Linked DNA regions of Solanum lycopersicum. The protein of the gene in region 1 binds, or shares a complex with, the protein of each later gene. Links are inferred from orthologs where the notes say so. Each region holds a gene or a part of one and is shown in the gene's direction. Other genes may lie near its edges. The genes, in order: hop-interacting protein THI030; protein PLASTID TRANSCRIPTIONALLY ACTIVE 14; protein PLASTID TRANSCRIPTIONALLY ACTIVE 7; thioredoxin-like fold domain-containing protein MRL7, chloroplastic.

Region 1 (6,032 bases):
GAAAGGAGCTAAATGCTATATTGAAGAAGGAAGCAGATTACTTTGGGGACATTGTGATTGTCCCCTTTATCGATAGATACGAGCTAGTGGTTCTTAAAACTATTGCCATCTGCAAGTATGGGGTGAGTTCTGCACTTCGCTCCATCTTCCTCTACTTCTCTAGACTGCTCAGTTGTGTCCTAATTTCTATCGACATGGCCCACAATATCTGTTGCAGGTTCAGAATGTGACAGCTGCATATATCATGAAATGTGACGATGATACTTTCATTAGGATAGATGCAGTCCTTAGAGAAATTCAACGTGTCCCTCCTAGACGATCTCTTTACATGGGCAATCTTAATCTCTTGCATAGACCACTTCGAACAGGAAAGTGGGCAGTAACTTTTGAGGTACAGAGATTTATATGATAATAGAGTTATTCAAAATCATGGCTACTGTTTGTTGATTTCTTATAGACACTAAAGCTAATTTGAAAATATTGACTTGTGCAACAGGAGTGGCCAGAAGATGTATACCCCCCTTATGCTAATGGACCAGGATATATAATTACAAGTGATATTGCCAAACATATCACTTCTCAATATCGGAACCAAAGCTTGCGGGTTTGTAACAGTTTATTTCTTTCGTTTTCTTCTTAATCATAAACCTGTTCAAAGTGTAGACTCTGAAATACGCATTCCCCCATCAAATTGACAGATCTTCAAAATGGAGGATGTGAGCATGGGTATGTGGGTTGAGAGTTACAACAGTTCAACTCCTGTACAGTACTCTCACAACTGGAAGTTCTGTCAATATGGGTGTATGGAAGACTATTTCACGGCTCATTATCAGTCTCCACGACAGATGTTCTGTCTGTGGAACAATTTACTCAAGGGTAAGGCCCATTGCTGCAACTTCTAGAGTGATATGACCATTTTTCGCTGCTTGATGGACGCACAATTTGAATTGCATCATCTTCTTCCTGCCTTGAGATCTTACGCGAAGAAATGAAGGTGTGTGTTGTTGTATCTGTTCAGATGGCTGTTTTAGCTTAACATATGATTTAACATGGAACATTGGCCATCGCGATGGATTTGTACATCCGGATTTATATACTGTGTACTAGTCATTGTATAGGATTCATGCCTCTCCGCCTTGTACCATGAAGAAACATACAGCGATTTGATATTGAGCTGAGCCTCCCCACTATCATAATTTTGGGTTGGGGCCTTCACAGTTATGTTTGTCCTTTAACGCTATATATGAAGCTTTTCTTCTGGCAATGTCAACATTACTTGCTCTTGCTCCTTCAAATTTTACATTTGATACTATTTCATTAACCCAGTACTAGTATTTTAATTTGAAATGATATACTATGAGTTCATCTTCATATTGATTGACTTTAATTAGAATGCTATAAATTATGATGATTAAATTTCACAAACATTTGTGTAACAACATATACTATATTTTCATCAGGTGGATAAATAAAATGAATGTGAATTAGTTGAATCTTTAGATGAAACTAAACAAGAAGATAGTAGAAAGCAAACTAAAATAATATGCTTAGATTGAAAGTGCATCAAAATCATATGCATATTTTAAAATTGTGTTTATTTAATTAAAATATCAATTCTCTTATTCATTCATAAACAAAGCAAAAGAGTCTAGAGTTTATTTATTTATACAAACCATGTGAAAAATTATTCATTCCAAAATATCTCATTTTGAAATATCTTTTTGGTACACAAAGAAAGAAGGGACGCGGAATGAGTAAATAATATGCTTAAATTGAAAGTGCATCAAACGATACATCCTTAATATTAATTTTTATTTATAAAATTCTCTTATTCATACATAATCAAAGTAAAAGAATTACGACTTCTGTATAAAAGTCACGTACAGCCCAAAAGATCTCATTAACTCTTTGAAGAATTAGCTATAAGATTCCTACACTTATTTTATTCCTAAGAAATAATATAGAAAAGAAAAACTATATCTGGAACCTCCGCAATAAATTGTACAAATAGTGGTTTGTTTTGAAGAGATAAGTATCAAAATCATTTCTAAATTTGGGGTAAAATATTAATTTCATTTCCGAACTATTGACAGTCTTAAAAACGTTCCTCTACTTGATCAATTGAAGTTAAATACACCATCAATCTTGCAAGATTAGTGAAATACCCCTTTAAGTTCTCATCAAGTGTAGGGTGTTTTAAACACTTCTTTCAATTTAAAGGTGTATTTCACTAATCTTGCAAGATCGGGGGTGTATTGAGCTTCAATTAGACAAGAAAATGAGTGTTCTTAAGACAGTCAATAGTACAGATATAAAACTAATAATTCACGTCAAGTTTAGAGATTGGTTTTAATGGTTCTCTCATTTTTCAATAATTTAAACCCGCGGAAATTAAAGCGAAAATTGGTGACTAGGCCGGTCTGGAAAGCCGGTCCAAATTTGTAGGACGGTTCAGGGTCACATTATCCTAACTAAAGCCCCTCCTAAAACCCAAGCAAAGGACAAAGGATAAGAGGAGTTATTTATAGCAATTTCGAGTTGCCAATTTCAGCAATGGCTTCTGTATTGTCAACTTCCTTGTATCAAGGTAACTGTGTTTTACTTGTTGCACCTTTGATTTTTGTAAAAATAATTCTTCTTCGCTTTGTAAAATTGGTTTTTTTTCTGTTATTTGCAGATAGAGGACTGAGAATTGTAGCCTCTACTGATGGATTTGTGCCAACTATTTGCTGCCCCTATCGGAAGGTGTTTTTAGATTATTATGAACTCCAACAAATCTTATTATGTTTGTTAATCACCACTGGAAGTAGAATCTTATACTCTGTGTTGTTAGATAATAAGTAAAAAGGAGCACTTTTACAAAATTGTTCGTCTCTAAGAGTTCAAATTGTTGATTTTAGGTTTATATGTGACTTTTTGTATCTTCGAGAGGAATCAATGGTTTGGGTGAGCTATAAGAGTCTAGAAGAGATTAAAATGGTTTATATAATCAATTCTATTCAAGAGAGGGATATTTTTGGGAGTTTGATATATGCTTGAGGATATGGTTAACGTATTCTAGAGTGTTAGAGCTGACGATCAGGGAAAGCTGTTTGAAGGAAATGTTTTACTTCAATGGCAAAGAGAGTTTGGTTAGATTTTAGGAGTTATTTGTAGTTTCATGGTAGTAAATTGTTTTCTGATTTTGATATGCATCAAATTTCCTTTATACAATTAATCTGTGTGCTCATCTTATAGCTGACTCTCTTTCTTATCCCTCCACATGTACACCAAGTTTACCTGCCTATGTTTACTTCTTCATTTGCTGAACTGTGTATACGTATGCATCTGCATTGAACACCAGCACATGTTGCTCTCTGTGACGGTGAAATTCATATTGTAATCGGGGAAGGAAGAAGGTTTAAATTTCTGGCAGAAATTATTCATGAATTTGCATCTTATGTTTAAGCATCTCTTGTTTAACATTATGAAGTAAAGTCTGGCAATATGTTCAACATGCATGCTCAAAGGAAGGTGCTCTATATTGTAGCAAGGTTTCTCATCATTTTTAAAAGTTTTCATTAATAGGAGTATGCATTGTGCTGGGAACCACCCAGACCTTGTTTACAGGTACTACTCCTGTTTCAATATGGAAGCTCAAATTTGTCTCCAGTAGTCCATTTCAAAAGGCTCCTTTAGCTCCTTGTATAAAGTGTGAGAACAAGGAAAAGAATCAGGGCTCTTTTGAGCAGGTGTCTGTCGAGCGTTTTCCTTATCACAGTTATATGGACTCCACTTCTGGGCAACTTGAACCAGCATCTGGAGCTCGCGCTAGTATTCCTGGGAAGGAGTACTGGCCAGAAGGCACAGCTAGTCGAGTTCAGGCCGCCAGGGCTCCTGAACCAGATGGTATTTCAACTGGAACTCCATCTTATGGAAAAGCTCCTGGAAGTAGAAGAAAGAAGTACAAGGCATCTGCTTCCTCTTCCCAGCCTTCAGAAATCAATGTAATTTCTGATGATCCTCTGGAGACTCCAGATAGTGTACCAGAAGAGCCAAAGGATCTTTCCTCAGAGTATGTCATTTATCAGCCTGAACAAGATGAAGAAGAGCTGACAGGCTATGAGCTAGATAAAAGACATGGACGGCCCCACCCATTTATTGATCCAAAGGTAAAGAAGGAAATAGAGAAGCCGCTTACTAGTGAAGAATTATGGTGGAATTGGAGAAAGCCTGAAAAGGAGCAATGGTCTAGGTGGCAGAGGCGGCGCCCTGATGTTGAAACGGTCAGTACTGAAAATATATACTGCTAAGTAGAATAAATTGTTTATGTGTGTAATCAGTGTAATTTAATTGTGCTAATCAAGATTGGATGTCAATGCTGCTCATGCTAGTTGCTTGCTCGATGCCACATTGTAAAATAGATAAATGCAAATCTAAAGTGGATAAAATGATATCTTCAGTAGAGACGCGGTGAATATTAATAATACATTTCTAACCACTTTAAACCTCCCTTGGTTCTCGAGCAGATTCAAACTTATATCATCATAACATTCTGACTTAGAGATTATTATTATTTTCCCTGGAACAGGTCTTTCTTAAAGCTATGGCAGAGACAGGACAAGTAAAGCTCTATGGTGAGCATCCTACATTGACAGAGACTGCGCTCTATAGAGCAAGGAGACATTTATATAAGGAGGAAAGGTAGAATCAGCAACTTTTTTAATAATGTTGCATCACATGTTCTATTCTTCAAGTTTTAGTCTCTTCCTTTTTCCCTTGCACTGAAATGTTAAAAGATGGACCTCACTCGTTTGGTATTAAACTTATTCATAAGCCCTTCGTCTGTCATGAATGCATGTCATAAACTATAGGCTACAGGGAACCTTGCAAAGAAAGGATAGGCAAACTGAGAGGAAGTATAAAATAAGCAAATTCCATTTCCTTAATGTCTTATTATGTGCTTGTACACTGTTGTATTAGTTCATTCTTGGGAAGCTTATTATGGTACTTATTACAAAGAGTCAAGCAACAAATATTGTGTCTTTTCTTTTTTTCATATTCGTAATGTATATTATAAATAGCATTAACATGAAAAAATTGTCAAACTTCAGTTAGATTGATGATCAACTCCATGTCCTCTCTCTTACCTTTTGCTTTATCTACTGCTTTCAAAAGCTATTGGTTCTGCAAGCTCTCTGGAGCTGGTTTTTGATGAAAAGTTAAGTCTTGACTTCTATTTTGTTTATGTTTATCTTTTACCTGTATTATCTTTATATCCGTGGTGTGGGGGCACTTTGCCTGCATCATAACTATGCTGGTCTACTATCAGCCTACATGCACATGTGGCCTAGGTAATCTTGTCCACTAAGGTTAGAATGAAGGGGATTACACCAAGTGTGTGGTTAGGATTTGTACTTGGGATCTTCAGGTTGTTACTCCCATGCCTTAACTATTAGGTCATTGCCTTGGAGACCCGTTCTGATTTTATTTTCTGAAACTTGTCCCTTGTATTGTTCCCTAATTGACAGATCTTTGAGTTGCTAAATGACTTGGCAATCTACTTTCCCCGTTCAAGATGAACCAGAATACACTTTCTATTGGAACTAAGAACTAATAAGTGGGCAATGCAGGCTACAGGCTGAAAAAGAAAAAATGGAAAAGATTGGTCCTATTGCATACTACTCAGAGTGGGTCAAAGCTTGGAAAAGAGATACTTCTCGAGATGCCATTCAAAAGCATTTTGAAGAGACTGGTGAAGATGAGAACACTCAACTCATCGAAATGTTCTCCCATCAAACAGATCGTGAATACCGGATAATGATGGGAACTGATATGCGTATTCCTCGTGACCCGTTGGCCATGAGAATGCGGGAGGATCAAATAAAACAAAGTATCTCCCTTCCCTCTGGCTGAACTATACTTCATAACTTTTCCTGCTTTTTCTTGTGACTTGTGAGTATCTGTGTACGCAGCTGGTTTAGAAGTGAAGGTGATTGGAAGTTGGGGGACAATGATTTATTATCGGGTAGTTATAGGGATCTTTAGCTTGA
Region 2 (5,891 bases), about 5.6 Mb from region 1:
CCAGAAGAACCTGTCTCTCTGACCACCATTGCATGGTTGGTGGCTGAGACCTGGTGGTGTAGGTGATGCTAAATTGTTTTAAGCAGCAAGACAAGATAGCAGAAATATGCTGCAAAAGTCTTCATATATTTTCTCTAAATGTTTGAGTAGTAGTAACTTATCTAATCCGAAGATCAAGATAATGGAACAAGATTTTGAATCTTGTGGATAAGGGGCAACACTTAGAGATGGGGGTTAATACAGAAGTATGCATAGGTGGTTTGAAAATATGTATAGGAACCAGTAGAAGAGTATGCTTATTATGAATCCTTGCTCGTTGTACACAAAGCTTGGAATTTGATAAGACTTGTGTTTTTTATATAGCCTTCTCTTAGTTTCTGTGCATATTTGTGTTCTTAAAAGTTTGCACATTAAGCAAAAGATGGACTGGACATTCTCTGGTTTTAAGTTGAATTAGTTGTACAATTTTTTTTTTGGATAACTAGCTTCACTCGATGTAATTCAATGTTTGGAGAGATGTGCATTTCTGATGCAGGCTTAAGTTCCTTGTGTCTTTAGCTCCTTCATTTCACACTGAATTGAGACGTCAGTGGTTGTTTTTGTCATCTAGACACATGGGACCTATCTATGTCGAAGTTGTCACTGGTACCTCTTTGATGTGTGTTAAAGCTGGTTTCTGACCTTTTTCTTTTTTCTATTTTGCATGGACAAGATCGATATTTTATCAGTTTCTTGATCATGGAGCTGCGACTCAATGGACATCACTTAGCTTATGTTAATTCTGTTGTAGTTTTAAGAACTTTGAAATGTTGTTAATGCACTTGTATTTGTTGCTTACTTGAATTTCCTTTTGCTTGTGGTAGATTTTGCGTAAAATGTGGTAGGAGGGCTACTTGTTTGTCTGAAGCTACGTGATTTATGAGTCAATTTAGTTCTGAAAGCACTGGTGCATCTGTTGTTATAGGACCTCTAATTCCTTTTGACTTTTTTTCTCTTCCTTTTGTACAGATATTGTCTTTGGGGGATGTGGCCTAGTTGATGAAGTTGGAGTAAACTCCATGGGAGACTAAGGTTCAAATCTTAAATAGAGGCAACACATTTGGGTGATCTCTTCCTTCTGCCTAAACCCTGGTGGTAGAGTTATCCGATACCAACAGTACTGAAAGGATGCAGGTACCTAGCGGAATAGTCAAGGTGCATACGACGACCTAATCATGCTCAGTAAGAAGAGAGCAATAAGCATCTCAAGACGAGATCTCCATAGTGTCAATCACTTGAAGTTTGTGATATCTTGTTTCTCTTTGGGGTTCAGGAAGTGCTGCCAACAATGCTATCACACATTATTAATCAGTCTTGGGACATGAACATCCTAACTCAGTCATATGCATAGCTGGAGATGAGAGTTACTTTATTGTAATGTTGACTAAGATTGTATCCAGTACATGGTGCTGTTGTTGGCCTTTCGATTAAATTAGTTGACAGGTTGAAGGTCTTTTCTATGTATAACAAAACATCCAAATGTTTTTCCTGGTACCTTACGTGGCTTTCTAGTTGCTAATCTCATGTCATATGGTTATAATTTTGTATATGATAGTATCATATGACAGGTGCAAATGGTCAAAATTCAGATAATGGTCCTCTGCATGTTGTCCAACATTCATATATTTGTCGATCAACTAAGTTTTGGTCCCAAATTAGTTGCATCAATCCTTTGATTTTTTCAGATGATTTATAATTACTTGATTCGAACAATACTTAACTAGATTTAAGTAAAGTTTTATTTGTAAATTCAAGCCTAATAATAAAAATGATATAATATAAAGTAATGTTTGATTTAAAATTATGATTTTATTATAATTATTTCGACGTCATTGATCCCTCTTACCGCCAACATTGATAATTTTTACACAGTGAAAACAAAGTCAGACACATTTTTAAATATTTATTTTGCTAAATTTCTTTATCACACCGTTTCCATAAAGATAAAAGAATATATATAAAAATAAATTAATAAATTAAGTAGCAGAATTGTGGAATAAAATAGGGAAAAAAAATCAAAAAATTTAAACCCAGGAAAAACCCCTGGGCACTCTCTCACTGACAGTAGAGTGGATAACGTTTCAAGAACCCAAATTCCATCGATGTATGAATCTTCTTTACTGAAATTCCACTAAATTTTTAGCTCACTCTCAAGAATGGTTTCTTCCACCATTCTAATTCAGCAACCGACGAACTTCTTCCACCAGCCAGAGCTTCACCATCAGGTTAGGCCTTCGCCCCCACAAAACCAAATCATTCAAGAATGAATCTTTTTGCTTTTTGATTTTATGGGTGTTTGATTTTTTAATAATTGAACCAGCTATGGAGAGGTCTGCAGCATGGATGTGTTGCATCATTGCAGAAACAACCTATTTTGGTATGTAATAGTAACAAGAGAAACAGACCTTTGAGAGTTTCTTCAAGTGCTAATGGTGCTGTTACTTCTTCCACTTTGGAGGCCTATGATTCTTCTCCGTCTCCTTCTGCATTTCCTCTTTTTACACCCCCTTCTCAACCCCAAGATACTCCCGCTTCTCAGGTATTTTCTACTTGCCCCTTCTGTTTCATGTTCTTGAAGTTCAAGTTTAGTTTAATCACATCTTGTTACTTTCTGTGTGATAAGTGCTGTTTTCTTTTGGTAAGCTCACTGTATAAGTGCAATATGCAACACTTTTATGTACTCTTTTTTGTAGTTAGAGTTTTGGCACTGCATACCTTTTCCTCTTCAGTCATGGTTTCTTTTACTTTAATAGAATGCCAAACAAACAATGGACAACAATAAGCACTAGTCTCTCAATAAATTGAAGGAAGTGACAGCCAGGCAGTTGATGTTTGGAAAAGATAGGAGTTACACTTTGAAGATCGATGGAATTGTTCTTATGAATTGGTTTTGTTCCTCATTCAGATTTTCTTCACAAATTATTTGGTTCTAGGTCAGGTCCCATATAAATTTTTGGTGATTACTGTGTTAGAAATACAAAATGTTCTACATCAGGTATAGGGGAATCATATACCTAAAGCATTCTCTACTACTCCTTCACTGCATAAATTTTTCTTTAATATGTCGGAATTTCTAACCAATTAGTAAGTCCGTTCTCACACGTGTGAGTCTGCATTGGTTTCAGATATATAGAATGCCTAACATCTGGTGTTTAGGGGCATCCAAAGGGTTATGATGATTTTGAGCTACTCCCCAATTACCTTAAGATTTTCACTTAGATGCTCATGTTCGTTCTCACGTTCTCATGCATAGATATCCCATTTCTATTGTTACATAGTCAAACTAATGGTTGGAATCCCTCTACTTTCTCGGTCTTACATCCTTTGAGAAGCTGATGAACATATATTTTCCTATTTGATTATTTCAAATTATCCTTATTTTCTCCTGTTCTAATTGTTGATGATGGTGGTATAACATTTTCATATGAACAGTTGGAACTGGCAGATCCTGATTTCTACAAAATAGGATATGTTAGAAGTTTTCGAGCCTACGGGATTGAATTCAGGGAGGGACCAGATGGGTATGGAGTGTTTGCTTCCAAAGACGTGGAACCTCTCCGTCGAGCTAGGGTGAGCACTACCTTACAACATGTTTGTATGTACAATGTTTTCCTCCTCCTGATGAAATGTTTAACTATATCAATTACCATCGGAAGCAGTGTCAAATTTACTGCTCCATCAATGTTTTACTATACCAAAAGCTGGACTTCATCCCATCAATTCCACCATGAAATTGGTGGGGGTAGGAAAAAAGGACATGGGAGAATTGTAATACCTTTAAACTACCTTCCTTCTCTCTGAGATAAGTATCTTTAGTTGATTTCCCTCATTTGCTTTTTAACCTTGATAAGTTATATTTGCAGTGGCTAGGCACTACTAATTCTTCTCCTGCTGTGGTGTATTTTATCATGTCCTACATAGTTTTGACTGTCTAATTCATTTGGCATTAGCTTGGCTGTTTGATTGCTCTTTTCGCACTGATTATCTTCACACCTTTTCGTTATCACTAAAATTCAGTGAATCATGAGGTTTTGTTTGTAATGCAGGTAATAATGGAAATTCCTTTAGAACTTATGTTAACCATAAGCAAAAAGCTTCCTTGGATGTTTTTTCCAGATATTATACCTGTAGGACATCCAGTATTCGACATTATCAATTCAACCAATCCCGAGGTAAAAGGATGCATTTTCCTTTTAAATATTTTAATTTTCCTACTAAATATTATTTAATGGAACACATGGGAGAATATTTATCCACATTTTCTTTGATTGGATAAAAATAAAAATTAGACGTCTTACCTTTTCCCTAATGGTACACATGAGAGGATTTGTTTTTATGCTCTAAATTTTTTCATTTTCTTTTTGGTTTTCTAAGATTTCTTGTGACTTTTTAATATTGATTACCTTCTTATGGCAGACAGATTCGGACTTGAGGTTGGCGTGCCTTCTTTTATATGCTTTTGATTGCAAGGACAACTTTTGGCAGCTATACGGAGACTTCTTGCCTAGTGCTGATGAATGCACTAGCTTTCTTCTAGCTACCGAGGTCTGGATATGAGTATCATCCAAATTTCAGTGCATTCAATTAATGTAATATTTTGTGGAAGATTCTATAGAAAATGCTATGCATTCACAAAATTATTCTGCACTTTGTTATGGTGTTCTGCTGAGGTTCAAGTTTGAGTAACTCGAAATGTGAATTAGAAAAGCTTTTGTGATATTCACACTGTTATGTGACCTTTGCTATTAGTGGGTTCTAATTTATAACAAAAGTTTCTTCGACTGAATCTTGTTTTTTTCCATGACTGTTGAAGCTCTCTTCTGTGTATTTAAGTCTATTTTGGAGTTACCATTTTGGTTTTCAATCTGAAAATTAATATGTGGTTGAAGCTTCTTCATTTCTGTGCTTTGCATTTTCATTAGTCAGCTGGGCTGGTTTTGATTAGAAAGATTAGTTGCAAACTGAAAAATGGAATGGCTGCATTTGGCATATTCATGGTGGATTAATTTCTAGAATTTCAGTGCTAGAGTAAATAAATAATTGTTTTGTGTTCCTGATGCTCTTCTTAATGCTTTCTGTGGTGTAGGAGGATCTTTTGGAGTTGCAAGACGAGAAGCTTGCTTCTACCATGAGAGAACAGCAAAATCGAGCACTTGAGTTTTGGGAGAAAAACTGGGTACAGACAATCTTGTTAAATCTCTTTCCCCCAGATTCCTGCTCACTAACATTGGCCTTTGACTTTCTTTATTTGTTTAGCATTCTGCAGTACCTCTCAAAATTAAGCGTCTTGCTCAGGATCCTGAGAGATTTATTTGGGCAATGAGTATAGCACAATCTCGATGCATCAGCATGCAAACAAGAATTGGTTCACTGGTTCAAGAAGCAAATATGTTGGTACCTTATGCTGGTGAGCTTCTTTATTGTATTTCTGTCCAAAATTTCAATAGTGAAATCGGGAGCTTTAATTAGTTTATTCACACAATGCAGCACCCTACTTTTAACAGATTGAACTTGGCTGAGATATTTTAAGATAGTCTGAATGGCATCCTTTATTTAATTATTGTTTAGATTGGTCTTGAAGTGATGCTCATGTGTACTTTAAGATGTTAAGTGGATCCAAAAGAGCAGATCCATGACTGCAGTAACAAGTTAGTCACTGAAAAATATGTTCAGTGTTCAGTTTACTGAAACCATGCCCCCAATGAGAATATTGTGTATTCAATTTTTTCCATTTTTTAAAAATAGCTGTGCTTTCTCCCTCTGCAGTCTGCATTATGAAACTCGACGCAGTTACTGTTACAGGTGGAAAATATTTGTCCACCCTAATGATATTTAATACTACTTTCATCACA
Region 3 (6,054 bases), on another chromosome or scaffold:
TCTATTTGTATTTTTTGGCGAATTATACATATACAAATGTGACTAATACAAATTCAAAGTCAACTCACGTAATTAATGTACAATATTAATCACGAGTGATAATTATAGTAAATTATAGTTATGATGAGTAACTAAATACTTGATATACACTCCTAACACACATACAATATACATTTTAGATGATGGTTCCTCTTATATACATATATATTGGACTTTTATTTTTTAAACTCATCTACAAGTACGATTATAATTGTATACTTTTTTCTTTCTCAAAATAAGTGTTGTTTTGATTCTTTTTAGTTTTTGTGCTTATTAAAAAAATAGTATTTACCAAATTACCCTTATTTATTACTTTATCCGTTTCAAAAAGAATGGTTTCATTTTTTTAGTCTATTTTTAAAAAAAAATCTTGCTTTTTTTAGTTACATTTTAATTTCTATTTTTCACGTGACATGTTTAAGACCATAAAATTAAAGGACACTTTAATTTAGGATCACACGATTCAATTTTTTTTTTCTTAAACTCCGTGTCAAGTCAAACAAGTTTATCCTTTTTGAAACGAAGAGAGTAGTTTATTAAAAATCGAGCAAGATTAAAAGAGCAACTTTCACATATAGCAAATAAAAAATTCATATTTGTATGCTATAACAAAGTTTGCATAATTGTGTTCCATAGCAAACATATAAAATGTATAATTCGTTATACATATACCGTTGAAGCAAATTGTATAAAACGAAGTGTATAAAACAAGAAAGAGAAAGACACTTGGGCAGAGAACTGTATAAAAACGAAATGTATAAAACGAATTGCATTATTATAAGTGTATAGAACGATCATAAACAATTTGAATTTGTATAAAACGAGAAAGAGAGAAAGACAAAAGAGACTTGACAAGGAATATACAATTGAATCGAATTGTATAAAAAGAGAAAGAGAGAAATTATATACAATTTGAAAATTGTATAAAACGAGAAAGAGAGAAAGGCAAAAGAAACTGGGCAGGGGAGTATTTTTATTGTATAATTATAAGTGTATAGGACGAAAATACACGTACTTGCATGTGTATATACAATTTTCTCACACTTTATACAAACAGAAATGCAATTTATACATTTCGCTTCTGTTTGTATAAGTGAGAAAGGCGAGGGTGGCGAGTGAAATTTGGGAGAGTGGCGAGCGAGATCTGGAAGAGGGGAGAGAGGGAAACAAAAATATATGTATTTATACAATTTTCTCTGCTTTATACAATTAGAAACAATTTTTATACATTTGTGTTTGTATAAAAAGTGAGGAAGCGAGCGAGAGATTGTTAGGAGAGTGGCGAGCGAGATACTTAGGAGAGAGGCGCCTGACAATTTTTTGCAAACGTTTGCTATGGAGTACAATTAAATTAAACCATAGCTACTCCGTTTATTTTAGGTTATTAGTTTGCTATTATATATAATTTTCTCATATTAAAAAACATATTTTTAATATAAGGTGTATTTTTTTAATACTCACTTCGTTCCATTTTATGTGGCATTTTTGGCCCGGCACGGAGTTTAAGAAATTAATGAAAACTTTGAATTGTTTATCAAATCGAAGTAGACTCACTTTTCTCTTTCCTCAAACGTTTTAGAGTAGTACTATTTAAAATTAAGTAAAACCAACAAGAATAAAAAAGAATTTGTATCTGTAAATACTTACCATGTAAAAAAATATGATATTTTTTTATGGACCGACCAAAAAAGAAAATAATGTCGCATTTTGGGACAGAGGGAGTAATTAATAACTGAGACGGAGGAAGTATTGCAAAAAGAGGGCTTGTAGGATGTTATATTTGCGAAACTGCTCTAAAATTACGAAAATCAAGAAACAAATATGAATAACAAAGGCATAATGGAACATTTTTAAAAACATCAGGGTCTAACTGCCAATAAATTAACTTGCAAAGTTTGAAAAAAGAAACAGTAGGATATCATTTGCGTTATCCCCTTTTATCAGAGGGAGAAGAACACAATCGAAGGGCGAAAAACAATGGCAGCATCAACCCTGACTTTCAGTAGCTTTTCAACACTACAAACTTTCCCCGTAAGCTCCTCGTTCTATTTTTATCCTGTTTTATATTCGCCGGGATCTTCGCCGGTTTCCAGTTTGACTCTCCGTTCTTAATTTGTGAATCCGGAGAATGATAATTTGTCTTCAATGCAGAGAATTGCAGCACTTGAAAATAAAAAACGCGTGAACTTGTGTATTCGGGCGCAGGTGACAGTTCTTCGTAGCCGTCGCTATCTATTTTCAGCTGTGATTTTTTTTTTTGCACAAGTGTTTGTAACTTTTGTTTTTAGTTTGGTGTACAGAGTGCGTCGAATTCTAAAAATGAAGGCCGTGGAGAAAGGCGAATATGGAGGCGAAGAAAATTGGTAAGTTAAGGAACTCTGATTCGTGCTTTTTCCTGCTCGTTTCATTCTGTTTGTTTTAATGTTTATTTTTCGATGTGCACCATTGAATTTACCGGAATTAGATATAAGAGTAGGATGTTTCGTACGTATTGTGCTTGCCTTGTATGGGCTATAGTTGAAAGGATCTAAGCTATATGCACAATCGATTTTTGTTGTCAGTTTCACTGATTTTGGCAGGTTACTTACATCAAGTCAGGCTTACTATAGAATCATGGGCATAGACAATTGTTTATAGTTGGCTTTTAAGTGAGTAGATTTGCTTAAATATTCTTTACACCGTGGGTATATTTGGTGTAACTCAAGTGAAAACTATATTTGTGGTAGACATATTAGACTATGCTTGATATATTATTGTAGGCTGATAATACTTTTCTTCATCTTTGCTGTTGTTTTCGTTTCCAAGTTTGAACTTATATTTCTTTAAGTCATTTTGGATGCCTTGATTTGAACGATGAATTTCTTGGTTAATTAGTTTTTGAATTCTTAGAATTGTTACTTGAGATTGATTGTATCGTCTTTAGAAGAGGGATGATATCCACATTTGATCTGAATCAGACCCTTTTACCCATTTTATGTGCCATATCAAGCTAGCCATCTTTCCTTTTTGCTTGGATTTTATGTTTTTATTAACTACAAACCACTGTAGGCAAAGTGATAGATATTGAAACCTAACAGATCTCCCACATCAGGGGTTCAAGCTTTCTGTCAGTACATCACTTCTCTCTGGATGATAATGCAAAACCTAACCCACTAGAAATTGAAGGTAGGGGAAATGATGATTTCACTTATTGCATTTGTGTGTTGATCTTGTTTGGTGGACCCTGCAAGTAGATAATACCAAGTTTGGAGAGTGTACTGTTATCCTGACTAGTTGTATGTCCAAATGATTTAGGCTGAACACTAGATCCTGAGTATCTGTGGCTCGAGATGTCATAATTAAGGCTTCTGATTCAATAGGGGCTTTGTATGTATGCGGCTCAGTTCTGACTGGGTTCTTTTTAATAGTTGATCATGTCCATGCTCCGATATTCTGGTTTTGTGGTTGCTGCAAAGGCAAAATGTTTTACCATCTGTATATCATTTTTGAGCAGTAATCTGAATTTAAGTACATGTCATTCCTTGGTAGATGGTTCTTTCTCGTGTTTTTACCTGCTATTAGGTTTTCGTATGAGGCCCCTAAGTAAAGAGTGAAAGCTAGCATATTCCTCATAGTTTAAGATTTTATTTGTTATTTCTTGATCTGTGCATGTCATCCTTGCCTATAGGCATGCTAATCTTCTTTATGTCATTCCAGTTTTATTTGTTATTTCCTGGTTGTTCATAGAATAATGATATTTTTAAGGGGTCCTTTTGCTGATGGTATAGGAACAATTGATCTCAGTAAAAATCTTGCGTTGGTCCATAGGATAATATAGCGTATGGTCAACCATATACACAAAAAATTATCGCTTCATAAATAAAATGCAACATTTGGTTGGCAGTACTAAATGATACCTGAATTAAGTTATGCATGACTTTAATATTATTTATGCTTGATAGAATGTAAAATAATAGCACATGTAGTAGCAATGTAGAGATTAAACTATTTAAAGATAAATTGCCCTTTTAGACTAAGTAACTCATTTGTGACAATCTTTTCTTTACTAATAATCACTGCATAACAATTCTTTCATTATTGATCACATCATAAAGGATTCTTGCATTATAATCCTTACTAACCAATATGTGAACCAAACGTCCCCAAACTTTTTTACCCATATTTGTCAAGGTTGGGTTCTTGAGACAAACTTGTAGTTGTTTCAGCCTTTGCTAAAATGTTCTTTTTGTCCATCAAGCTTTATTGCACAACTTTAGGGTTTGTTATGTTTTCTTTTCCTCCACAAATTAGCCTTCATCTCTTGTTGTTTCTCACTTCATATAGTGAATCATCTCTTGTGGATCCACTAATATTTGGTGATCTTCTATGGTCTGACTAGGAATAGAGTGTATTTAACCTTGAAGGCATGCTTTGATGGTGAAAAGCTGACTTTATTGCCTAATCAAACATCTTTATAGTTCTTGAATAGAGGATTTGAGTTGATGAAAAAAGGGGATAGCTCAGAGAAAGTTATGGCAGAAATAGAAATAGATTTTTTCTTATGTTTGAAAACCTGAGTAACATATCTTATATCTTAGCTTTGTAGTAATAACACTGAGCTATTACTAATCCGTGAAACTAACTCCAAAAGTTAACAGCTAGCTTAGTGTCACGGACTTTTTGATTCGGACTAAGTTCCGTGCGGCACTAGACGGTTTACTCACGACTCTTGCACGTTCTTGCAAACTCTAGTAAGCCTAAAACTCAGATCGCTAAGAAAATAAGAAGTAAGACAGAACTTTGGAAGAAGGAACTTCTATTACTTGAAAATAATTGGATGCTTTACAAGTAAAGTAATCTACTATTTATACTACTCTAATGCTGCCTAAGAGTTAGTAAATAAACTATACAAGTTCCTAAGACTATGCCTACAAGACAAGCTTCCAAGTCTTCCAAAAAGGACTCCTAGATGCTCCTAGTCTGCCCCATGATCTCCACAAGCCTCTCAAAGACTTGTAACTTCTGTAACAGCCGCCCCACTAACTGTTGTAACAGCTGAAACTGCTGCCTCTTCAGCTGCTGCAGGCCTCCTTGGCTGCTGACCTGCGTGGTCAGCCTGCTCCCCTGCGCCTGCTGCGCCTGCTGGCTGCCTCGTTGGGTGGCGTTCGGCCTGAATGGATGGCGGGACGTCACAATCTCCCCCACCCCATGATGCGACGACCGCGACGCACTGCTGCAAGAACTCCTGAATTTTGCCTTTGAACTGCCACAAGTCTTCGTACTTCTCCCATGTGGCTTCCTCCGGAGTTTGTCCCTTCCAATGTACGAGAAACATGGCACTGGCCTGTTGTCCTCGTTTCCGCTTGGCTTGGTAATCTATGATAGCTTCAATCTCACGATCATGCGAGGCAGTAACGGTGATAGGGGCCCGTTGTGATTTGTTCCGGCTGGGATCGTCCTTGTCCTCATGATAAGGCTTAAGGACGCTGGCATGAAAGACCGGGTGGATTTTGAAGTGTGGAGGTAACTCCAATCTGTATGAAATCTTACCCACCTTGGCAACAATTTTGAACGGACCCTTATATTTCCGCACCAGGTTGTGATGCATGCCTCTAAGCGCCTTAAACTGCCTCGGATTAAACTTTACCAAAACCATATCACCTTCTTCATAGTTGGTGGGACGACGCTTGCGGTCGGCGAACTTCTTCATCCTCCTTGCCGCCTTGCTCAAATAAGATTTGGCAAGGTCGAGTTGCTCCTCCCAACCCTTGGCAAGGTTGTAAGCGCCCAAACTCTTCCCTTCGAACAATGTTGGCAATGAGTGCGGAGTTTGGGGTTGCTGGCCCGTTGCTAACTCGAACGGTGTGCGCCCTGTAGATTCACTCCTCTGCAAATTATAAGAAAATTGCGCCATGTCTAGGAGCTTAGCCCAATCCTTCTGATGTGCACTAACATAGTGCCTTAAATAGCATTCCAACAAGGCGTTGACACGTTCAGTTTGGCCATCAGTTTGGGGGTGGAAACTGGTGGAAAAGT
Region 4 (6,019 bases), about 4.0 Mb from region 1:
CCATGTCATCGCATCTCTGCCATTGATGCAACTGATTTGAGCTTGCAGTTGGTTTAACACAACTACCATCAATGAATCCAAACTTGTTCTTTACTGACAAAGCTCGCATAACTCCCCTTCTCCAGGATCTATATCCTGTTCCATCGAATTGAGTTGGTACCAACACCATACCAGGGCTATCCGAAGGGTGTATGTAGAGAGTGTTGTGTGCATCATCATTAACAGAGGTTCCTTGTGCTGAAGGAGCACTTTCAGGTCTTGTCATGATGAAGGATCGACTGGATCACAGGAAAAACAATTAAACAAGAAGAATCAACAACAAATTCAAATCAAAAGTAGCAAGAACAGCCTTGCTCTGATACCATATTAAACTGATCAATAATGGTGATTTACACCAAAACAGAAAGGAACCATAATAATCGATTTAGGAAGAAGAAGAAGAAGAAGAAGGAGGAGGAGGAGGCATCGTATGTGTTGAATTGTAGAAGATGCAAAACTACTATCTTCATGTATTGATTCTCATTTATATACAAGAGAATTGTAATCACATATCCAACAAATACAAAAGATATGAAATACAAAATGTGTGACTAACTAACTTTCAAAAATCTAACTAACTTGATGTGACATCCAACTAACACTCTAACTAACATAACTAACAAACTAATCATAATTATATTGTTAATACAAACATAAAAGGGCAAAGCCGTGGTTTGACCACATATTCTATTCAAATTTCAAACATAAAGGATTTTTATCATCTTCGGAGAAGAAAAAATAATAGTACAAGAATTTAATAAACAAAGTGACGGTTCACCTTTGCTATCATAATTGAGTGAAAATAAAATAAAATTGAAAGATGAATTCCTTAGCACCAACCGAGCATCATTAGTTTCCTTGAAAATCCATTGTAAGGCATTTTGACGAATGAAAAGGCTGACTTGGTCCAAAAACAAAATTTCCAACAAGCAAGGCAAGTTCTAAGAAAATAATAGACAAGTCCGTAAGCTCGTCTGACTAGTCTAGAAAACGGGACATAGAAAACTTCCTTATGAATCACACTTTAATTTATGTCATTAACAAGCAATATTTGTGATAGAAGTTGAACTACAGGTAAAACAAAGATGGTACATATAGAGTTTCAAGATTTTCTGCCAATTATGGCGATAAAGCTATGCGGAGAGGGACTGATCAACGAGCTATGCAAAGGTTATCGGATGTTAATGGATGGTGAGAAAGGCGTGATCACAATTGATAGCTTAAAGAGGAACTCTAAGCTGATGGGATTGCAAGATTTTAGTGATGAAGAATTGAAGAACATGATTAGAGAAGGAGATATGAATGGTGATGGAGCTCTTGATAAGATTGAATTTTGTATTTTGATGTTTAGATTGAGTCCTGACTTGTTACTTGTGGCTCAACAATTGTTACATAAAGCTCATCAATAACAAAATAATACTGTCCACCTTAAGTGATACTGTACTACTATTCCTGATTCATCATATTCATATGTAATGTTTCACTTCATTTGTCAATGTTAAACTTTTCTTCTTATCAAGTTAGTTTGCATACTATAATTCAATTAAATTTCACAGAGACGTTATTTTCTACCAAATATAGGTATTGCGTTAATAGCTTTATCCAACAAAGGACAAATAAAAAAAATCACCTACGATATTTTTATCACCCCAGAATTTTCAACCCTCTCCATTAGCCTAGCGGCCAAACTTAAGAACATATTTGGACCAAAAGAGGTATCAGTGAACCAAACTTTAAATGGAGGGTATATCTAAACCTTTTCTAATAGTTTAGGGGTATATTTGACCCTTTTCCCTTTAAAATATAATTGTCAAAATACCAACTTAGCTATATAATAAAACTAATTACTCAACTTTCATTAAATATCCCAAAAATATTCTAGGCCAAAGACCAATAAAAGCTAGGCTAGAAATCACCCTAAACAATTTTTTCCCCTCTCAAGTAAAATAAAAAATAAACCTAAGTTTGGAGCAAAGGTAGGTGTTTTACGAGACAATATTGGGTTATGGTATTCATTTGGATAAAGTTTAGAAATATTTTCGCCTCATGTCATTAAAAATATTTAATATTTTTTATGAAGTTTCAACTTAAAATAAATATTGGCTGTTGTTTTTATTCATTTGCTCTGCCCTCCCATCCTTCAAAATAAAGTTGAAATATTTCTTATAGGATTAGAACAAGTAGGGACTGGACAAACGGAACTTGAGATTTAGCTTCTTCATTCTCAGGTAGTCCTTTGTTGTATTTTTAAGAAAGGTAACAAAGTACTTGCGAACGGATTATTTATTATTGCTATAAACTTTGATTCTATGATTCACTAACCTTTAGCTCTGCTGTTTGCCATTGTTGTAATCATCAAGTTATAAACATAATTAATGCACTGTTGGTTGCACTTGTACTGTATCGACAGTCTGGTAACTTATGCACACAACCTGTTTGATTATTTGCTCATTAGACTTTTATCCTCTATGCTTCAAAATAGGTAACCTTTTAACTGTAGCCAGAAGCAGACTTAGGATGTTAAGCCAGTCCATGTGGAGTACCACCATCTATACTACTATTTAGTGTCGGTGGGTGACAATGCTGACTTAGTTCAATACATTTTTGTAAAAGTGGGCTAGTAGTACTGTGCTCAACAATTCAACATCAATGTTATGGCTTCTACAGTTGACTTTGTTTAACTACATTTTGAATGTTATGCTAGTCTTTTTCTGTTTGTCTTTTAGTTATGTACATAAGAATATGGAGTGGATGTTTTCTATTTTGTGTTTTGTAGAAAGGAGTTTGATAAAATCTGTTCTTAATTTTGATTGGTGTTATCGACAGGTTTTTTATATTAGGAGTTATCCCTAATAGAGATTTTGATTTTCCAGGCGAAGTAGTTAAGCGAGGGAAGATGGTCATCCATTCTGCATTAAATCTTAACTTTTGTGCTATTTCATCACTCTCTGCACTCAAAGCAGGGCAACATTGTAGTTCTTGCTCTTTTTCTAACTTCCTATTGCCGCCTCCTTTGAAACGTTTGACTTGCTTTGCCACTTCAAAAAAGTCTGAAGAGGAACATGTGTCTGATCCTAAGAATAACTCTGGTTCAAGGTCTAGAAAAGCTATAAGGTCCCGGGAAAGTAAAGTAACTCATAACGAAGACAAAGATTCTGCCAAGATCTTCCCATCAACAATCCCTAAAAAGCCAAGGCGTGGTCGCAGGAGCGAAGCAGCTGCAGTTGAGGATTTTGTTCGTGATTCATTAGAAAAGACATTTGCCTCTATCCGAGAGCAGAACTCTGATATGATGAAAGATACCGAGAATATCCTCAAAGATAGGGTTGATGATGACACTGAGTCTGATGAAAGTAGTGATGATGAAGATGACAGCAGTAGGGATAAGAAAGAAAAGAAAATGATCATTGAGGAGGAGGATCCAAATTGGCCTCTGGATGCAGACGTTGGATGGGGAATTAGAGCATCAGAGTATTTTGACAAGCATCCAATAAAAAATGTTATAGGAGAAGATGGAGTTGAGATCGATTGGGAGGGGGAGATTGATGATTGCTGGGTGAAGGAAATCAATTGTCTTGAGTGGGAGAGCTTCGCTTTTCATCCCAGTCCCCTCATTGTACTTGTTTTTGAGAGATACAATCGGCAAGTGGATCTTGTTTTGTTTACAAATTGAAGTCCTAAAGGATATATTCTATAAGCAATATGCAAGTCTTTTATGTTCTCTGAGACAATTGCTAATTGCACAGGGCTAGTGACAACTGGAAAGCTCTTAAGGAGCTGGAGAAAGCAGCCAAGGTGTATTGGAGTGCCAAAGAGCGCTTGCCTCCTCGGGTTTGTGAAACATAATCACTTCTCCTTACATTGTGCATTAGTAAACCCTCTTATCTTACATTTCCCCTAATTACTTGGTGTAGACTGTGAAGATTGACATTAATATTGAGAGGGATCTAGCCTATGCGCTTAAAGTCAAAGAAAGTCCACAGATATTGTTCTTACGAGGAAACAGGATACTATACAGGGAAAAAGGTACTCTTTATATATCCCCTCACTAGTTTGATAAAGTAATTGTAATCTTTTCAGCTAAATTCATTGTTATGTTGAATGATTGTTTACTTTGCAACTCCGGATAAATTTGTGCAGAAATTCGTACAGCTGATGACTTGGTTCAAATGATAGCATATTTTTACTACAATGCGAAAAAACCTTCATGCATTGATGATGCAGCTTTATCTCAACAGTCTTAGTCAACGGAGGTACTGATGCTGACTTGTCTAGGCTTTCATTGAAGCTCATAGATTAATGTCACTAAAAATATTTGAACTTCTAGCACGTCGCAGATTAAGAAAGAGGCAGTGGAGCATGGATCTATCCCTGTATAACTGGAACCAATTGTGGTCGTTTTGTCACTGGAAAACAATTGACCAATTGAGGGCAGAACCTTAGAAGAATGACTGGTTGAAACGAGATCATGGTACTGCTCGCTTGATGCTTGCAGGTGCTGATGTAATTAGCAAGTGGAAGGTTGAAGAAAAAGGTTATATCCTATAATGTGCTTAAATTAGTGCCACATTTATTACTATATAGAAGAGGATAGTTGGAAAGAGAACACTCAGTTGCATGATCTTACTTTAGTTCTATTTGCTTGTTTACATATCATACTAGCCCTAGATGTCTATAAATTACTTTCTGTATTTAATTAGAAAAGTTCATGCATCTTCTGTTACTTGTATCTTGACCTTGCTGGCTATAACTAAATTAGAGTTATTGTTTTCGGGGGAGACGTATGTCACGCTAGGTACGGAACTTTTTTCCATTAATACTAACCTAGATAGATATGAATGGATAATGTATATACCTTGCTTTATTCCATCTTAAGATAAGAAATTAAAGTTAAGATCAGATAAACAAGACACTGTATGTCCATTGGATGGGTTAACTGTGTGTGCTTTTATCTGTTTTAGGTTATATTCAGACACTAAAGTGCTTTCCTTTGAAAAGTTTTGGATACCACATTATCAGGAATATGCCCTGATTAAACATATGTTAAATCACTCAACATCAAACCTAACTAGGACCATTTGTAGATAATACAGTTTAACAAAACCTGAACTCTGAATAGACTCAACTAACAAACTTTCACCTAATTGACCTCTTAAATATGCGGTGATCTTGTTTATCTACTTAATTCTTGGTGGGTGAAGTCTGACGATATTGTGGTGGGAGGTGACAGATATTTGATGATACTCTCTCAATTTTAATTTGTTTTGTTTTTTCTACTTTCTTTCATAGTCCATTTCAACATATGTTTAATTTCGATGGCATATTTAAGGCTACAAGGTTAAAAGTTATTTTCGTATATTCTTCACATGTGTAATTTAAGACCGCAAGATTTAAAAAGCTTCTTTACTTTCTTAAATTTTATCTTGTAGGATCTGCACAGCTTCCCTTGTTAGTTGTTATGTTTTCTTATCCTTTGTACTTGAATTTGCTACCCTTGATTCGAGGGTCTTTTAAAAACATTTTTACCTCCACGTGATAGTAATAAAATTTGTACAAGTTTTATTCTCTTCAAACCTCATTTGTGAGATTTACTGAGTATATTATTATTATTTTACCTTGTTAAATTAAAAGAGATGAAGTATAACGAAGGAGTTGGCTAGAACACCAATCTAGAAAAAGTTCCACGCCCTTCCGAAGAACCTATTGTATGGTGGGACAAATAAAACCATTTAATTGATCAATAATTTTATAAGTAACATTTATTAAGTTGTGATGATAGGAATATACTGTAAAACGATCCAGACATTTGGCAAATATGAGAGGTTGTCACGAAGGCTTTAATTTTGTCATAACGGAAAATTTACAATTTAAAAGAGGTCCCATTTACCAACCTATGTCATTCTCAATTTTCTTAATTCCAACATCCATTCACTTATTTATTCTTGTCGTTTGCTTTTATGATTATCACAGCTATCGAAAA

The links.
Region 2: hop-interacting protein THI030 (region 1) and protein PLASTID TRANSCRIPTIONALLY ACTIVE 14 share a complex: the UniProt entries of both Arabidopsis thaliana proteins name them as parts of the transcriptionally active chromosome (TAC) complex. The link is inferred for Solanum lycopersicum from reciprocal best matches to the Arabidopsis thaliana genes PTAC12 and PTAC14.
Region 3: hop-interacting protein THI030 (region 1) and protein PLASTID TRANSCRIPTIONALLY ACTIVE 7 share a complex: the UniProt entries of both Arabidopsis thaliana proteins name them as parts of the transcriptionally active chromosome (TAC) complex. The link is inferred for Solanum lycopersicum from reciprocal best matches to the Arabidopsis thaliana genes PTAC12 and PTAC7.
Region 4: hop-interacting protein THI030 (region 1) and thioredoxin-like fold domain-containing protein MRL7, chloroplastic share a complex: the UniProt entries of both Arabidopsis thaliana proteins name them as parts of the transcriptionally active chromosome (TAC) complex. The link is inferred for Solanum lycopersicum from reciprocal best matches to the Arabidopsis thaliana genes PTAC12 and MRL7.

Annotation. Positions count from the first base shown.
Region 1 is NC_090801.1:56,329,827-56,335,858, reverse strand, and holds the start of hop-interacting protein THI030, read left to right. Parts: upstream 1-2,246; 5' UTR 2,247-2,553; coding exon 2,554-2,587; intron 2,588-2,677; coding exon 2,678-2,745; intron 2,746-3,596; coding exon 3,597-4,265; intron 4,266-4,570; coding exon 4,571-4,683; intron 4,684-5,612; coding exon 5,613-5,872; intron 5,873-6,032. Other genes in the region: hydroxyproline O-galactosyltransferase GALT2, read left to right, coding at 1-122, 218-391, 497-604, 699-902. UniProt on the Arabidopsis thaliana protein: Involved in plastid gene expression. Acidic transcriptional coactivator necessary for the transactivation of many PIFs target genes (class B genes), particularly during the regulation of hypocotyl growth.
Region 2 is NC_090801.1:61,880,564-61,886,454, reverse strand, and holds the start of protein PLASTID TRANSCRIPTIONALLY ACTIVE 14, read left to right. Parts: upstream 1-1,970; 5' UTR 1,971-2,195; coding exon 2,196-2,264; intron 2,265-2,359; coding exon 2,360-2,578; intron 2,579-3,471; coding exon 3,472-3,609; intron 3,610-4,085; coding exon 4,086-4,211; intron 4,212-4,455; coding exon 4,456-4,584; intron 4,585-5,125; coding exon 5,126-5,215; intron 5,216-5,295; coding exon 5,296-5,446; intron 5,447-5,891. UniProt on the Arabidopsis thaliana protein: Essential for chloroplast development, especially for thylakoid formation. Involved in plastid gene expression, probably by maintaining plastid-encoded RNA polymerase (PEP) activity.
Region 3 is NC_090802.1:49,585,268-49,591,321, reverse strand, and holds the start of protein PLASTID TRANSCRIPTIONALLY ACTIVE 7, read left to right. Parts: upstream 1-1,916; 5' UTR 1,917-2,016; coding exon 2,017-2,070; intron 2,071-2,190; coding exon 2,191-2,244; intron 2,245-2,327; coding exon 2,328-2,402; intron 2,403-6,054. UniProt on the Arabidopsis thaliana protein: Essential for chloroplast development, especially for thylakoid formation. Involved in plastid gene expression, probably by maintaining plastid-encoded RNA polymerase (PEP) activity.
Region 4 is NC_090801.1:60,372,947-60,378,965, forward strand, and holds the start of thioredoxin-like fold domain-containing protein MRL7, chloroplastic, read left to right. Parts: upstream 1-2,057; 5' UTR 2,058-2,267; exon of another isoform or gene 2,268-2,361; coding exon of another isoform or gene 2,362-2,395; exon of another isoform or gene 2,396-2,912; 5' UTR 2,913-2,935; coding exon 2,936-3,681; intron 3,682-3,785; coding exon 3,786-3,870; intron 3,871-3,953; coding exon 3,954-4,065; intron 4,066-4,179; coding exon 4,180-4,283; 3' UTR 4,284-4,292; intron 4,293-4,366; exon of another isoform or gene 4,367-4,376; 3' UTR 4,377-6,019. UniProt on the Arabidopsis thaliana protein: Plays an essential role in early steps of chloroplast development. Involved in the regulation of plastid gene expression. May positively regulate plastid-encoded RNA polymerase (PEP) activity through binding to FSD3 and CITRX/TRXZ.